4 linked regions of the Saccharomyces cerevisiae S288C genome follow. The gene in region 3 interacts genetically with the main gene of each other region. Each region holds a gene or a part of one and is shown on either strand. Other genes may lie near its edges.

Evidence for each region.
Region 1: mutations in CRN1 (region 3) and JNM1 together harm fitness more than expected from each alone (negative genetic interaction), as found in Saccharomyces cerevisiae (2 studies listed by BioGRID).
Region 2: mutations in CRN1 (region 3) and SUT2 together harm fitness more than expected from each alone (negative genetic interaction), as found in Saccharomyces cerevisiae (2 studies listed by BioGRID).
Region 4: mutations in CRN1 (region 3) and COF1 are lethal when combined (synthetic lethality), as found in Saccharomyces cerevisiae (4 studies listed by BioGRID, with this or other methods).

Annotation. Positions count from the first base shown.
Region 1 is NC_001145.3:854,339-858,620, forward strand, and holds JNM1 (Jnm1p), read left to right. Parts: upstream 1-2,627; coding exon 2,628-3,749; downstream 3,750-4,282. Other genes in the region: protein kinase TDA1, read left to right, coding at 1-52; GOT1 (Got1p), read left to right, coding at 457-478, 561-955; glutamyl-tRNA(Gln) amidotransferase subunit HER2, read right to left, coding at 1,061-2,455; GSR1 (Gsr1p), read right to left, coding at 3,959-4,282. UniProt on the Saccharomyces cerevisiae protein: Component of the dynactin complex which assists cytoplasmic dynein by increasing its processivity and by regulation of its cargo binding.
Region 2 is NC_001148.4:574,501-578,266, reverse strand, and holds SUT2 (Sut2p), read right to left. Parts: upstream 1,716-3,766; coding exon 909-1,715; downstream 1-908. Other genes in the region: DNA-directed RNA polymerase I core subunit RPA135, read left to right, coding at 1-682; HAA1 (Haa1p), read right to left, coding at 3,165-3,766. UniProt on the Saccharomyces cerevisiae protein: Putative transcription factor involved in the regulation of the activity of the cAMP/protein kinase A pathway. Involved in sterol uptake.
Region 3 is NC_001144.5:988,691-993,800, forward strand, and holds CRN1 (coronin), read left to right. Parts: upstream 1-2,086; coding exon 2,087-4,042; downstream 4,043-5,110. Other genes in the region: RING-type E3 ubiquitin transferase MAG2, read left to right, coding at 1-1,750; DNA/RNA helicase SEN1, read left to right, coding at 4,744-5,110.
Region 4 is NC_001144.5:39,057-42,790, forward strand, and holds COF1 (cofilin), read right to left. Parts: upstream 1,359-3,734; coding exon 1,345-1,358; intron 1,166-1,344; coding exon 748-1,165; downstream 1-747. Other genes in the region: FRE6 (putative ferric-chelate reductase), read right to left, coding at 1-415; LDB18 (Ldb18p), read left to right, coding at 1,610-2,149; bile acid-transporting ATPase YBT1, read right to left, coding at 2,224-3,734. UniProt on the Saccharomyces cerevisiae protein: Controls reversibly actin polymerization and depolymerization in a pH-sensitive manner. It has the ability to bind G- and F-actin in a 1:1 ratio of cofilin to actin. Binding to F-actin is regulated by tropomyosin.

The sequences.
Region 1 (4,282 bases), on a different chromosome or scaffold from region 3:
ATTCCAGGTGAATGTTGATGATTCTGATGGTGATGAAACCATGCAGATATAGTGTTGAATGATAATTCACCTTTTTTTTCTTTCTTTTTTTTTTTACCTGGGACGACATTCTAACTAATGAAATTTACGATTAATTATTCTTTTTTTTTTTTTTCAAGAAATAAATATAACTGTAACATATATATATTAATTATGGGGGATCACAAAGAAAAATAGTAACTTTAAGAATCAAATAATAATGTGTTGCGCTTCTTAGTACTCATCCGGCATTTACGGTTTCCATGGTATGGTTTATTTTTCGTGCATAGTATTACCCGTCGTGTTCTTTTCGGACATTGGAAAGTTGTCCATCCCAAACACTTAAGATGAGTTAAAAGGCGTTGGCGTTTGCCTTCTCCGTGTGATTGATTTACAGTTCAGCCCAGTGATCATTTAGCTTACCCATCATCGCGTAAAATGTGGCTCACAGAGGCTCAAAGTATGTTTTTAATATTTTAGATGCTCTTTGCTTCTCCGAGAGACGTTAGTTCCTTTTTTACTAACAACTTACTTTTCACTAGAATTTGGTGTGGCCTTCACTTTCGGCGGTTTTCTCTTCTTTTTGTTTGGTATATTTACTTTTTTTGATCGTGCCCTATTGGCCTTGGGCAATATTTTGTTTTTAATTGGAGTATTCTTAATAATCGGTTCACAAAAGACATATATTTTTTTTACCAGGCCAAACAAAAGGCGCGGTTCACTATTTTTCCTAGTTGGTGCCTTCTTAATACTGTTGAAATGGACATTTTTGGGCTTTATAATTGAATCTCTAGGTATTATAGGTCTCTTTGGTGATTTTTTTGGCGTCATCGTACAATTTTTGAGATCAATGCCCATAATTGGTCCCATACTTTCTCACCCAGCAATCGCTCCAATAGTAGATAAATTAGCGGGAGTTAGGGTTCTGCCAGTATAATGGTAAAATTTTGTATGTGAATATCATAGATTAATTTTTTCGAACTTTCTATAGGTATAAAGTAAAAATAATAATATTTACATGATTAACGTTGTCCTCACAAATTTATGATATTGACTCGACAAAATCTAACACAGTGGAATCATCACCATATTGACCTACTACCTGTAAGCCAATCGGGGTCTTCTCTTTTAAAGGCATTGATAAACTTGGTAGTCCAGCCAATGACATTGGGACAGTAAAGACATCGTTTATATACGAGTTAGCCGGAGATTTGGCTTCCTCTTCTTCGAAGTCCCTTATGGATCCAGGAAGCTTGGACGATGTGGGAACTATCAGTAGATCTAGGCCGTCTGGATTTCCCTTAGAATTAGTTAAAACATTTGGAAATCTGAAGATCCCGTCAAATTCATCGATCAAATTAACTCGTAGCTTTTCTGCCTTAATAAAATTGTTCTTAAATGCATCTGAACAAAGATTATAATTACCTAGAATGATTCTATTCTTAACTTCTGTTCCGAATTTGGACCTAGTAGGTGCGAATAAAATACCGTCTTTTATATCGAGTTCTGAATCTCTGTATCCATATCTGATACCATCATACCTTGATAAATTGGAAGCCGCTTCAGCGGGTGATAGCGTATAATAAATCGGTAAACAGTTTTTTACAGATGGAATGGATACAGGGTATATTTCAAGCCCTAAATTTATCAGCTTTTCTAGTAAGGATAAATATAATCTGTGGAACCCAATGGGCATACTTTCATGGCTAAATTCCTTTACAATTCCTACCTTTAAAGGTCTCCTAACCTTTTTATTCCCTTCTATCAATTCACGCAATTCCACACTTAAGGAAGTGGGATCTTTCATGTCATATTTATCGAGCGTATGAAATACTTTTCGCAAGACGTTTATCTTTTTGCTAAGTATGCCAACAGTGTCTAAAGATTGAGAATACGCTATTACGCCAAATCTTGACAACCGTCCATAGGACGGCTTGAATCCTAAAACAGATCCATAGCATGCGGGGAGCCTAACGGAGCCACCAGTATCTGTTCCCAAGGCAAAATCGACTAGATCGCAAGCAACGCTTGCAGCGGCTCCAGACGATGAACCTCCCATGATCTTCTTGTCCTCATGAGGATATAAAGGGTTAATTACGGGCCCTCTTATTGAATGTACTCCCCCAGAACCCATTCCAAATTCATCTAAATTTGTCTTGCCTAAGATATGCACTCCTGCCTGTTTTAATAGTTTCACTACTGTTGCATCGAAGGGAGACTTGAAATTCTCAAGTATATGTGAGGCACATGTGGTTGGAAAATCTTTTGTAACTATATTATCCTTGATACTGGCAACGCAACCTGTCAATGTTTCTTTTGTACCTTTTTTATTTGTGATTGAATAAGGAGATGGATTGATACTAGTGAAAATATTATATTTTGATTGAAAACTAGATAATCTTTCGATTGATTCTTTTAAGGAGCGTTTCAGTGGCATTTTTGTATAATCAAAGTTAGGACTCCAATTGAGGGGCCATCTTTCCAGCACAAATAATAGTGTTTACAAGTATAGATGTACTATTACTTTTTTGGGAGCCAATGCATTTCAAAAAAAAAAAGAAGAGCAGATAAGTCATGAGGCTAAGAAAGATAAAGAAATCTACTGGTTGATGAACGTCATAGATTTAAGTGATCCTGCCATCAATGTGGATTATGATAGCTTGATTGGCATTGACAATGAGGAATCTCAAGAAATTTTTGAAAATGAAGTGAAGGAAGATGGACAACAAGAAGAGCAGGAAGAAGCATCTTCAAGAAAAGATGGGCTCATCGTTGAACCAGGGAGAGATGTTGAGAGTTTGAGAAGGGCTATTCGAGATCAGTTGCTTTTCAAGATACATAGACAAAACCAATCAGACTGTGCAGATGCGAGAAAGTTGAGTAACGATGAAGAAGATGAAAGTCGGCAACAGAAATTAGAAAGAATAAGAGAAGAATTGGAGGAGTTGAAAATAGAAAATTTAACATCTGAAATGCAAACTGAAATCAAGGAATTGTGCGAAATTCAATCAAAATTGGCGACGGAATCATCTAGTAGATTGACAAATTTGAGGAAGAAGCTTCTCGAAACATATGAAGGCCAAGATACCGTCATATTGCCAAACATAATTCTTGATACGAGTAATATCAAAAGATTGCAAAAGTTAGATCAGAAAATATCCCTAATGGAACGTTTTGTTGGCATACCAGAAGCTTTGGAGGCAGAAGAAGATAGGAAATCGGTTCATAGTAAAGTCAATGAACTATATAGAAGTATTCAACTTTTACAAGGCGATGATAAGGCGGAAGGAAAGCTGCAAAAGTTCCGGGATAGACTCGTAGAACTGAACGAGGAATTTGAAAACTCATTGTTAGGCAAGAAAATACAACAGGACTTGAGGTTGAAAGATGACACCGTGAGCAAGCTTGTTATGCCCGAAAACAAAGTAAAGGAGATAAATAGTATGTATTCCATGTTCAAGCAATATCAAGATTCACTACCACTGTTGGCGGAGAGGATGAAAAGTCTCAATAAAATGAACAACAGGGTGATCGAGGTGTACGAAACCACGAAAGGGCTGGATTCACAAATAACCAGCATCCAAGAACAAGGAAAAGTTTGGCTAAAGGCTTTAAATGAGCTGGATAAAAAATTCGATGAACAAGAGGTTAAAATTCGCGAAAATATGGAGCAGATCAGGCGTAAAATTGATACCCTCGAAGACGAAGCTCTACAGAGAAATAGCAAATAAAAGGCGGAGAAATAATTTTATAAACCAATTTAATTTCATTCTTCATTTTTTCGTCTCCATATGACAAAAAAATTGAAAATATGTGTGTGTATGTATATATAATAATAGTAATAATAACAATATGAAATATGAAATATCCAAAATAAGAGCGGAAAACAGAAATTATCATAAAAAAGAAAAAAATAAAGTCTCTAAAGGGTATCAAGCGCTTATTTCTTCTTCATTCTACCAAACAATCCCTTCTTCTTCTTCTTTTGCTTTTCCTCAGTCTGTACGTGTTGTTGTGGCTGATACACTGCTTGTTCACCATACATTTGACTGGAAGCACCACCCACTTGCTGTGGCATACCGTTCGCATCGTAAGTCACAGCAGCACCAAACACAGGGAAATCAGGTCTTACGCGGAACCCGTAAGTTGGAGTCTCCAACTGTTGGGCCCAGACCGGGTCTCCGGAGACAGCATACTCGAAACTTCTTATAGTGTCCAAAGGTCTTTCGTCTCTTGCCCTAGTTGGATTCGATATATCTGCCTG
Region 2 (3,766 bases), on a different chromosome or scaffold from region 3:
TGCACAGGACTCTACACCTTGGATCTTTAACGAGGACGATACCCCAGCCGATTACTTTGGTGAGCAACTAGCGAAGGCGGGTTACAACTACCATGGTAATGAGCCAATGTACTCAGGTGCTACTGGTGAAGAATTAAGGGCAGATATTTATGTTGGTGTTGTCTACTACCAAAGATTACGTCATATGGTCAATGACAAGTTCCAAGTTCGTTCCACTGGTCCTGTGAATAGTTTGACTATGCAGCCTGTCAAAGGTAGAAAGAGACATGGTGGTATTCGTGTCGGTGAAATGGAAAGAGATGCTTTGATTGGGCATGGTACATCTTTTCTATTACAAGATCGTCTGCTAAATTCATCAGACTACACACAGGCATCCGTATGTCGCGAGTGTGGTTCTATTTTGACCACGCAACAGAGTGTGCCAAGAATTGGTTCGATTTCCACCGTTTGTTGCCGTCGTTGTTCCATGAGATTCGAAGATGCAAAGAAGCTATTGACTAAATCAGAAGATGGAGAGAAAATTTTTATTGACGACTCTCAAATTTGGGAAGATGGACAAGGTAACAAATTTGTTGGTGGTAATGAAACAACTACGGTGGCCATACCATTTGTGTTGAAGTACTTGGACTCTGAGCTATCCGCAATGGGTATAAGATTGCGTTATAATGTAGAGCCCAAATAGAGAAATACCCTTCTTTCCAAATTGATATAGAATGGTAAATGAAGGCTTGGTCAATTGTATCATATAGAGGTTTTTTATTGAATTACTTATACAAGAGCGCCCCGCAATAGAATATATATGTATGAGTAAACAAATTTATATCTTGCAGAAAAATATCTAACTTATTATTGGTGCGTTTTATTAATATTCCTATATTTTACATAGGAGGAAATTACATGCATGAAACCTAAAGGGTTTGGAAGCCAGCGGCAACATAATCATCGACAGTCATCTCGAAGATACTTTTGTCTTTAAGTTTACTATTTATCTTGGGAAATACGTTCATATCAGATTTTGTAAATCCTCTCGAAAAAAGACACTTTCCATTTTTTTGGTTTCTTCTACTGCAAGAGGTGCAGGCTTTGAAAAGGACTATTTTATCAAGGTGTTTTATGACTTCATATGTGCCCATCACGTCAGGCAGTTTCCTGAAAAACTTCATTCGAAACTGGTTTATGTCGTCTTGGGAAAGTGTATAATGCAAATTTGAAGAAATTGATGAAATTAGGTTCCTATCCTGTAAAAAGATAATGATTGTTGCATTGCATTTTATTTTCTTTATCCTACAAGAGTCACAACTTGGGCCGTCCCTCTGACGTTTTCTTTTGAGTCTGTTCGTTGCTATAGATGAAACAACCGCTGAATCGGTTGTTTCGCCGGAAGAAACAGTTTTATAGTATTCAGTGTACTCTGTTGGGCAACCAAGCTTGGGAAGCTTAGTCTTTTCGGATTCTTTTTGCCAATTACTATAACTGTGGTCTGCACATTGAATCGAAGAAACTGGCATAGATCCTTGCCCTGCCTGAATGTTTAAACGCTTTGGCAGTAAAGAGCAATCAGAAAACCCGAATGGTTGATATCTGCCATTGCTTGAAATTTGTCCTTTTAGCAATGAATCGTCACAGGTGTAACTGTTCAGTGCAGGCAGCAAAAGTGCAGGAAGAGATTCATCTTTGTTGGTAATTACATCACAAGTTCGATTGTTCGGCTTCATATCTGACGATTGATCCAAACAAACCAATAGCTTGGTGAGCGTCAGTTTGCCCTCTTCTTTGTTAAAAATTATCCAAGTGCGTTTTCTTTCTTATGGTCTATATGATAGAACTAATTCTTCATTCAAGAAAGTTTTTGTTGTACGTAATATAGAAGGACAACTACAGCCAGTCGAAGGAAAAAAAATTCCAAAAAAAATGCTAACCTTTAGCAAGAAAATTTCTTTTGTCAAACCTCCATTTAACCTTTGGTGGTTGATAAACATGAAATGGGCAATTTCACGAAAAGCTAAACTTTGTTTTCGTCTCCGCCTAGATGACTCTACCTTCAGGAGTAATATTTACACTATTTCTTCGCAGGCATTCGTTTATCGGCTTGGCAGGTCTAGATTTTTCTCTCCAATAAATTCTTTCCAAACATGTAAAGAAGATTTAGAATAAGAAATTTTAAAATTTAACGAAAGAATATATGAGCTAGCGGCGAAAACCCGCCGAGGTTTTGCCGTACATACCGTACATGTCTCCTTTCCATTATCAGCATCCAATTTTTATCTTACAGTAGGATGTTCATATTAAAGGAAAATGTATTTAAGCCCTTTCTTCCGTTTTCTCTTTTCCATTCTCCCGGCAAGTAAAAGTGGGTATCTTATCTCTTTCACTCGACTAGTGTAAGAAACGTAATACAGATTTTGTTGCTCGAAGAGCAAGAAGTGAGCAGTATAGTACACGTCAATGGAAGCAGTTTAGAATGGGGAGCGGTTAAAGCCCGAGACTCCCCAGGTAGATTGCACAGAGGACGCGCAAGTTCTTTTAAAATCTTGCCTGCAGAAAAAGAAATTATATTTATTTTCTTTTCTTTTGCCTACTTTTGATAAGTGAAGAGATAAGGTATGGAGCCCCGTAGTTTAAACCTAGATTTGTCATTGAGTGCAAATACCTCATCTCTGCGTGTTCGGACTTGCCTTCCTAGTTTATGTAATTATTTAAAAGAATCGGGAGTTACATCATAATGATTTATAGGGTTTCTTATTGCTATATTTACACAACAAACTACGCAAGGAATGCGGAAGGAAAACGATACTATTTCATTAGAAAAACGCACCTAGAAAGGTTGAGAATGCGCTACTAAAAATTCTGAAGATTATTGTTTGCCTAATAATGGTCTTACTCTCTGATACCTTATATTGTCAGAATACTATTAAGTAAAAGTGAGATGGGGAGGCCATTCACATTCCTGTTCTTGTGTGTGGGTGCTTCAGGCAAAGAAAAAGAAGGCGCAGTGCATATTTCTGCAGTGATTCAAATGGTGAACAGTAATATTGATTATGAAAATGTATAAGCAATCATAATGCCGATGATATTATTAGGTGTATAAAAGTGTATATATATATATATATGTGGGAGGAGGAAAACTACAGTTACAGAGAAGCAAGAGACGAAAAGCAAATTTATCATAACGAAGACATGAAATTATCCAAATCCGCAAATCCTTGATCGGTCAGTAATTGACTTGGTGGTGACGCTGTTTGAATACTACTCATTGGAGAGGTATCTGGAAGGTCATTCCTTCCGGAAGGCGTAGAGATCATGCTATTTCCTTGGATTATGAAATTACTACTAGATGAATTTTCCCTTATGGCATCCGGTCTATTCATACTTTTTAATGGTGGGGAGAACATTTGGTTCATCTCGTCTGGTACATTTTCCAATTGTGACAGATCGTGTATGTTATTTAGCGGATTTCTTTCTTCCTTCTTAGTGTGAATGTTCTTGTCTTGGCGACTTCCAGTTTTAGGCATTCTCGGAGAGTTTATTGACTGAGGAACTGAATGAATAGAACTTTGCTCAGCTAGGTTTGAAGGGTCCATCATCATATTTGCTATCGATGATGGCTGAGAGTTTAGTGATGTTAAACTCAGTTGATCGTCGAGATTGCTTGCTACGGCATTGTTCAATGCACCGGGAGATGTCGCTACGGTTGTTGGTGCCATAGGTGGATACCTATGGTTTACGTCAATGCTAGAAGATCTAGGTTTTCGAGTGAAAGGTCTGT
Region 3 (5,110 bases):
AGATATAGATTTATCTATCCAGGAAGAAATTCTTGGTGGTAATTTCAAATTACGAGGCAGGAAAACTCAAGTTTCCATTAATCATTTGTTGAATTTCCAGTTACCTGAAGTCGAAAGGGAAAAAAGTAGGTCCTCTTCAAGTAAGAAATCGAATAGGAGACGCGATGAGCACGTACATTTACACGGTGACACATTTGTTAATGTTAATTACCGTCTTTTGGTAGATGATCGTTTTGACTACCCAGAGCAAAACTGTAACCCGAACGTTCCTGTCGATCAAGAAAAGATTCTAAGAGTCATAGTGCCAAAGGGTCAGAATTGTTCTATTTGTCTGAGCGAGGAACCGGTGGCTCCCAGAATGGTTACTTGTGGCCATATTTTCTGTCTAAGTTGTCTCTTGAACTTTTTCTCCATTGAAGAAACCGTCAAAAATAAAGAGACTGGGTACTCAAAGAAGAAGAAATATAAAGAATGCCCGCTTTGTGGAAGTATTATTGGCCCTAAAAGGGTCAAGCCTGTTCTGTATGAGGACGACTTTGATGTAACCAGGTTAAATCAAAAACCCGAACCTGGTGCCACAGTACATCTACAACTGATGTGTAAACCACACGGTTCACTATTACCTTTGCCAGTAGCCTTACATTTAGACCCTCTAAAATGTGGAAATTTCCCTCCCGCAAACTTAGGATCAATAAAGCATTATGCGCATATTATGAAGTGTGGCGTGTCTTACTCCTTGGAGCTCTATCAAAAGGACATTGTTGCTATTCAGGAACAATATGAAATCGACAAGGCCATTTATAATGATAGTGGAAAATTTGTTAAGCAGTCGATTGAAAATATCAATGATCAAATTTCGACGTTGCTGGCTGCAACCACTGATTTGAGCCCACTTTCCAACGATATTAACAACGGTTTGGACAATTTTCATTTTGATGACGATCTCTTGACCAAATACGATGATTCTTCCGCTTATTTTTTCTACCAGACGTTGGTGGCATCGTCCACGAAATACTTCTTATCTCCACTGGATGTAAAAATCTTATTGACTATTTTCCACTATTATTCCAAGTTTCCAGAAAGCATCGAGACGACAGTCGAAAATATACATTATGATACAGTGGTAACGGAGCAATTAATCCGCCGCTACAAGTACATCGGCCACCTTCCAATCGGCACTGAGATTGCCCTTTTAGACTTGGACTGGCGTAAAATACCATTCCTTCCCAAGGAAATTTACGAACAGTTTGCTCATGAGCTAAAACAACGTCGAAGAAAATTCACAATGAAAAAGCAAAAGGAAGATAAGGAAAAGAAACTATATGAAAAAAGGTTGGAACAAGAACATGCCGAGTTCTACAGAAAGGAAAATGGCAATTCTCTCAAGTTTGAAGACTCTGTACAGATGGCTACCCATTATGAATCCATTGTAAGCTCTTCCATACCTCTCAACTCCTTAGGAATTTCTATGCTGGGTCCACCGACAAATTCCTGCTCTACTCCTCAAAAGCAAGCGCCCTCCCACACGAAAAGAACAATTTGGGGGACATCAATTGCAGTGACGGAAGACGAAAAAGCATCAAAGGAGAACAAAGAATTTCAAGATATGTTATTGCAGCGAATAAGGCAGGAAGATAGTTCGGATGTCACAGATTCGACGGATTCTCCTCCTACAAGTAATGGTAAGCGAGGCAGGAAGAAGAAAGGTAAAGTCATGCTATTCAGCAGCAATCATCAAGCCTTGGGTTAGGTTACAGCATGTTCTGCTTAAAAATCTCTTTCCAAGCCAGAAATGTGGGAGGACCTATTCTATATCATTTCAAAATCGAACTCTATATCTTTATGTATAACTTCAAACGCTATTGCATATAAACAATTACTCATATATAGTCCAAATGCATTCATACCATGTTATACTATTCAATTCTAGTGTCGTTGTGCGTGATTTTTCACTTTTGACCGTAAATAGAATTTCGGTGATATTATTTTAACTCTCGAAGAAAATAAAGTAGATTCATGTACACGTATATCAAAAGAGTACAGTGAAAAAGGGATAAAGGATACACTCCACTTAGAAGGGCGCAAGATGAGTGGAAAATTTGTTCGTGCTTCTAAATATAGACACGTCTTTGGCCAAGCGGCCAAAAAGGAACTGCAATATGAAAAACTCAAAGTGACCAACAACGCATGGGACTCCAACTTGCTAAAAACGAATGGTAAATTTATTGCGGTGAATTGGAATGCCTCTGGAGGTGGTGCATTCGCTGTCATTCCGATCGAGGAAGTGGGCAAGGCTCCAGATCAAGTGCCTTTGTTCAGAGGCCACACTGCGCAGGTCTTGGATACCGATTTTGATCCGTTTAATGACCACAGGATTGCTTCCGGTTCCGATGATTCTAAGATTGGTATTTGGGACATACCGGAAAACTACAAATTTCACGATCATGTAGATGAAGATGGAGAGCCAATTGATATCAAACCAGTAAAGTTTTTGACAGGACACGCAAGGAAAGTTGGACATGTTCTTTATCATCCCGTCGCTGAGAATGTATTAGCATCCTCTTCAGGTGACTATACTGTTAAATTATGGAATGTGGAAACTGGAAAGGACATGATTACTTTGAAACATCCAGATATGGTCACATCCATGTCATTTTCGTATGATGGTAATTATCTTGCCACAGTGGCTCGAGATAAGAAACTACGAGTCTGGAATATCAGAGAAGAAAAAATTGTTAGCGAAGGGCCTGCCCATACGGGTGCAAAAAACCAAAGGGTGGTATGGTTAGGAAACTCTGACAGATTGGCTACTACTGGTTTTTCAAAATTGAGTGATCGTCAAATCGGTATTTGGGATGCCTTCAACATTGAAAAGGGAGATTTGGGAGGCTTCTACACTGTCGACCAATCATCAGGTATTTTGATGCCCTTTTATGACGAAGGGAATAAGATTCTTTACTTGGTGGGGAAAGGTGATGGTAATATTCGATACTACGAATTTCAAAACGACGAGCTGTTTGAGTTGTCTGAATTCCAATCCACAGAAGCACAGAGAGGCTTTGCTGTAGCGCCTAAGCGAATGGTGAACGTCAAAGAAAACGAAGTCTTAAAAGGTTTCAAGACTGTCGTTGATCAGCGTATCGAACCGGTATCTTTCTTTGTTCCAAGGAGATCAGAGGAGTTCCAAGAAGATATCTACCCGGATGCACCTTCCAATAAGCCAGCTTTAACTGCTGAAGAGTGGTTTTCTGGCAAGTCTGTTGAAGGTCCAATTCTCGTTAGTATGAGATCTATCTATGACGGTTCCGCACCAAGCTTTCATGAGGCTAAAAGACCTCAACAGCCAACAACTCAAGAAACAGCTCTTGAAGAGAAAAAGGAGCAGCCTAAAGTGGAGAAGCCAATCAGCGAATCCGAAAAGGAGGTGAAACAAGAAGCTCCAAAATCTCCCTCACCGCTAAAGTCGGCCTCCTCATCTTCTACAATCAACCATGTATTAAAGGAAGATAATTCGATCAACAAGTTGTTGAAGAAATCCTCCGATATTGATCAAGTTAACAACGCCGAAGATCCGTCTAGGGATACCTCCGGATGGGAAGAAGCCGATGATGAGCCAGCTCCTATCAAAATCGAAACCCCAGTCACTCCAACAGAAACTAAAAAGGATCGCACACCTAAGGTCGAACCTTCAAAAGAATTGAAGCCAGAGCCAGTGTCTATCGCAACAGATAGAAAACAGGAGCAAAGCTTACCTCAAGAAGAGAAGTCCTCTGAGAAAACAAAGTCCCCTGAGCAGGAAAAATCCGCAACACCTCCTTCTTCAATTACGGCTGCTAAGACAGCCATTACTGCCAGCAGTAAGGAAGAGCCATCCGCGGCAAGGACATCACCTAAGTCATTGGGTTTAAAAAAGTCTGTCGAAAAACTATCTACATTGGTTCTGCAATTAGAAGATGTAGTTGATAAATTAACGAAAGCAAATCTTGACAAAGATGAGCGCCTGTTAAAGTTGGAACAAAAAATTGGCGAACTGTCAAAATGAAAATTTTTTGTACTTTTAATGATAAAATTAAGTGAGTCCTTTTTATAGGAAAGATGTATTTTGATTATATGTAATGTACATAAGACGGCGGCGATAATAATGCACTTAGAAAGTGAATCATGTTCACCTGTCCACTAACAAAAAAGGAAACAAAATGTTGCTTTCCCACAGGAAAAAGAATGTTTTTGACAAAACACTAAGCGTTATGTGACCAATGTATAATTGTCCTCATCATATAGTTTTATGCAAGCATAAATAAGTCTTTCTTTTAGTTAAAACGCGTTACATAGTAAAGGTAACCCTGAATGAATTTTTATTTATATTTTTCTTCGCATATTTTAGGATCTTGAAAAATTAACCACAAGTTAGAAGTTGATGAGATCAGGAATTCTAACAAAAGGTCATTGGTTAGGTTTATTTTGTAGGTGCACGTTTGCAACTTTATTCCTTTTGTTTCAAAGTTATAGAGCTTTCATTTTCTCATTCTTCTCTAGTGTAGGTCATTTCTCCTGCATATTAACCTACTAGAAAAGTTTACGAAGCTTCATAGGAACGAATAATCGATCACTTTAAAGGCTTCCCGCACTTTAATCTTATCATCTACACCTACAAAAAAGCTCTACTTTGTCATTTATTTTCTACTTCATCTCTGTATGGCATCTATCTCTATATATATAAAAAAGCGCATCTGTTTATTATAAATGAATTCCAACAATCCTGATAATAATAATAGCAACAACATTAATAATAATAATAAGGATAAGGATATTGCCCCCAATAGCGATGTTCAGCTAGCTACCGTCTATACCAAGGCAAAGTCTTACATTCCTCAGATTGAACAAGTTTATCAAGGCACAAATCCAAATATTCAAGAGGCAAAATTATTAGGGGAGTTATTACAAGTTCTAGCAGAAGTTCCCAAGGGTACGCATTTATTTTGCGACCCCATACTTGAACCAATATCAATTTTTTCCCTAACCATTTTCTCATTCAATGAAGAAGCTACGGCCACATGGCTGAAGAATCATTTTAATCCAATTCTCTCTGTTTGTGATAAATGCATTCTAA
Region 4 (3,734 bases), 950 kb from region 3:
AACTTTCAATAGAACCATAGTCTTCCAAAGCGTGAGAAGAAGCATTATTTAAAGATGAGTAGTATTGCTCCAGTGAAATATTGCTAAACTTTTTATCGACAAACGAGCACGTTTTTCGTACGTTACCCAAGCTTTCTTCGAAACTTGTGTTGTCCATGGGAATAATCTGGTCTGTAAGCGAATTGAAGATACAAAGTGACCAAGTATCAAACGCTGGTGAATAAGAGCATATGGTAGAATAGAAACCCGGTACGACGGAGCTATCAAATGACCACTTCAGAGTATTTATATAGGATGCGCATGCCAGCACAGCGTTGGATTCCAAATGGTCTTTTTTTTCAGTGTGTGGTAATTTTATATTAAAAGCCTTTGTTAAAGATATCAGCCACGTTAAAAACAGAAGCGTTCTATGCATATTCAACGAGCTATGGTCGTCATGCTTCACTTTAGAAGATTATAGAAAAATCATTGCTGCCTGGTTCGATGACCTTGTATCTTTTCTTGATCTACATGGCCAGTATTTCCGTTCTGAATTTAGAATTACAAATATGGGTGCAAAAACAATGCCCACTAGCCGGGGTGTACGGGACCTTAAATCTAAGTATTGTGTTTTAGATAGAGTTGCGAAGAGAAAATTATAATTATAATAATTCTATACATGTATTCTGTATATATATGACGATTTTATATATAGATATACATTTTCATTTTTCTTGAAGATTGTTGTCATTTGTGAAATCATTTACCTTAATGAGAACCAGCGCCTCTGCTGACTCTTTCCAAAACAGAATCGTAAGAAACTTCGGAAAAATCAGTACCTTGAACATCGGTAGAGACACCGTTTAAGGCTCTTCTTAAGGCATCCTTGGAGGATGCATAGACCATCTTAGATCTGACTGGAGCAGTGTCTGGAGACCAAGTGAAGAAAACAATCTTGGATCTCTTACCTTCATTACCATTAATTTCGTATTCAAAATCGTAAATGGCGTAAAGACAGTCGTTTTCTGGCAATTTCTCTAAGAAGGCATCGTAAGATGGGTCAGTAGAGGTTTCCTTGACAACGATTTCGGTTTTAGCATCGTTCAATCCGAATAAAATAAATTTGTATTTTTTACCCAATTTCAAGTCATTGAAAGCGGTAAGGGATTCATCAGCAACAGCAACACTACACAGAAACTTCACATTTTCCTGGCTTCTTATGAATTTTTTCCCCCACATTCCTTTTAAAGTTCCATGTTAAAAAGGGAGGAAAGAAAGGACATAAGAGAGCGAGATAAAACAGCATCATGTCAATTAGTTAGTAATTGATAGTTTACACAGGAGTACAAATGAAATTTAGCATACCCAGATCTAGACATCTTCTTTTGTTAGTTTTTTGTTTATGTATGTTTTGAAATCTGAAGTTTACGTAGTTGCTAACCAGTCTTTTCTTGTTTCCTCTTTTTCTTCCAATTTTGTCATCAAACAGGGGCGGCGTCACCCGAATATTGTTCTTATTACCCGGATATTAGGTAATTTAGAGGTACTGCATATAGTATAAGTGATTGATGAACTTATAGAATGTTCTCTCGAGCTTCCAAGGCCATTAGCCTCTACCAAAGGAAGTTTGATGCCTGGTCTTAAGCTTGTTGAAGCTTTAGAATACAGGTGTGACCGATTGGAGCGGCTTATAGGCGCCGGATACAGCGCGAATTCCGATGTTTCAGTGCAATTAGATGAACTATACAATCAGTTACATCGTCTATATTTCCAGGGTCTAAAGTATTCTCAAGATCTCCTGCAACTCTTTAATACTTTCATGGCTGAAGACATCGAGAACGTGGGAGCTCCTGATGATATTTGTATTTTTGCTAGTTGCTTTGACGATATTTATACATTATATAGTGCATTTGACGAACTAAACAGCCAATATATGGAGTTTTGCCAAATCAGTAAAAGTTCATTGGATCAGATTTCCTTCAAAGACGCAAATATTGAAACGAAACAGTTGAAGAAGTTACCCGAGTTGGTGGATAACTGCAACATAATGATTTTGAGGTCAATTGCAATTCTAAACCGTTTCATCGACTGGAATATTGAAGTTAACGGATTCTTCCAGTTCCAGAAAAAGAGGCTGTTGAATTTACAAAAGGTAATTTATAGTACGTGAACATGTGTGCGTATATACATATATATATATATATATATATATATATATATATATATACTTTAGCATCGAAACAGCTAGTCCTTTTTAGAGTTCAATTTTTCCACAAAGGCTTTTTTAGCCAATTCAATTAGGATATCCAATTCTCCACTATGCTCACACATGCTATAAAAGGCACTTTGTTTGTTAAGTAACAAAGAATATGGGTGATCATACTCTTTTACCTCACCTGCATCCATCACCAAAATTTTATCATAATCGATAACAGATCTCAACCTATGTGCAATTGTCAAAATTGTACTACCTTGGAACTCTTTTCTTATGGTTTCTTGGATCTTCGCATCGGAACTGTAGTCGATGGACGCTGTAGCTTCGTCCAGCAATATGATCTTTGGACTCCTCAGTAAAGATCTAGCAAGGCACATCAATTGGCGCTGTCCTTGAGACAAATTGGATCCACCTTCGCTAATTTCACTACTTAAATCCAAGAATTTATTAACATTTTCGGAGTTAGTCGACGAAGCCTCATTGCTTGTTTCTCTTGTGGCGCCTTGTTGTAATTGTTCTTCACTAATTAGATTTACACGTTTCAAAGCTTCAAAGATCTGTCTGTCACTAAATTCATCATATGGGTCTAGGTTTGTTTTAATCGTCCCTGAGAATAGTGTTGGATCTTGTGGAATAATAGTTATAGAACGACGCAGTCTTTGTAAATCAACACCGGAAATATCGATATTATCAATTTTGATATGGCCTGTCTCAGGTTCCAAAAATCTGAACAAGGCGGTAATAATAGTTGATTTACCGGCACCGGTTCTACCAACAATACCGATCTTAGACTGAGCGTCGACAGAAAATGAAACATTTTTAATTACTCTAGGTAGATTTGGAGCATACCGTAATGATAAATCATTAACCTCGATTTTACCGTCTTGTGGCCATTGTGGTGGCGGTATTTCTTTGTGTTCGTTGTATGGCTCTTGCTCAATTTCCATATATTCTTTGACTCTTTCAACAGAATTCATATTCATCTCCACTTCAGAGTACAATCTTACCAACCACAATGCCCCTTCAGTGAAGGAAATAGCATACGTCAAAGATATACCAGCCATACCCGAATCCAGATTATTAATATTGAATAGAATGAACAAACCAGCTCCAAAAATGACCAAGGATCCAATCATATCTATCCTAAAGGCCAACCAACGATTAGCAACCCACAAGTAGAAGAATGGTTTATTATTTTCATCAATTTTGTGTAAATTCTCTTGCATAAACCTCCCTTCATCACCAAACGCACGAATGGTGGTAACACCGACAAGAGTCTCGGAAAAATGTTGATAGATCGGTGATCTAGAAATAGATTCAAATCTTTTCAATTCACGAGAACCTGCCATGTAGAAATACCCAACAAAATAATACAATATTGAAACAACTATAGCAACAGATAAGAACTGTGGAGTAATAAATGTAATCAGTATGACGGTGGATAAACATTCAATAAGCGAATAGAAGGCGCCTTGTATATAAGGTGTCAGTTCCTGATCAATAGCTTCGATATCCTTGGAAAACCTGTTCATAATTCTAC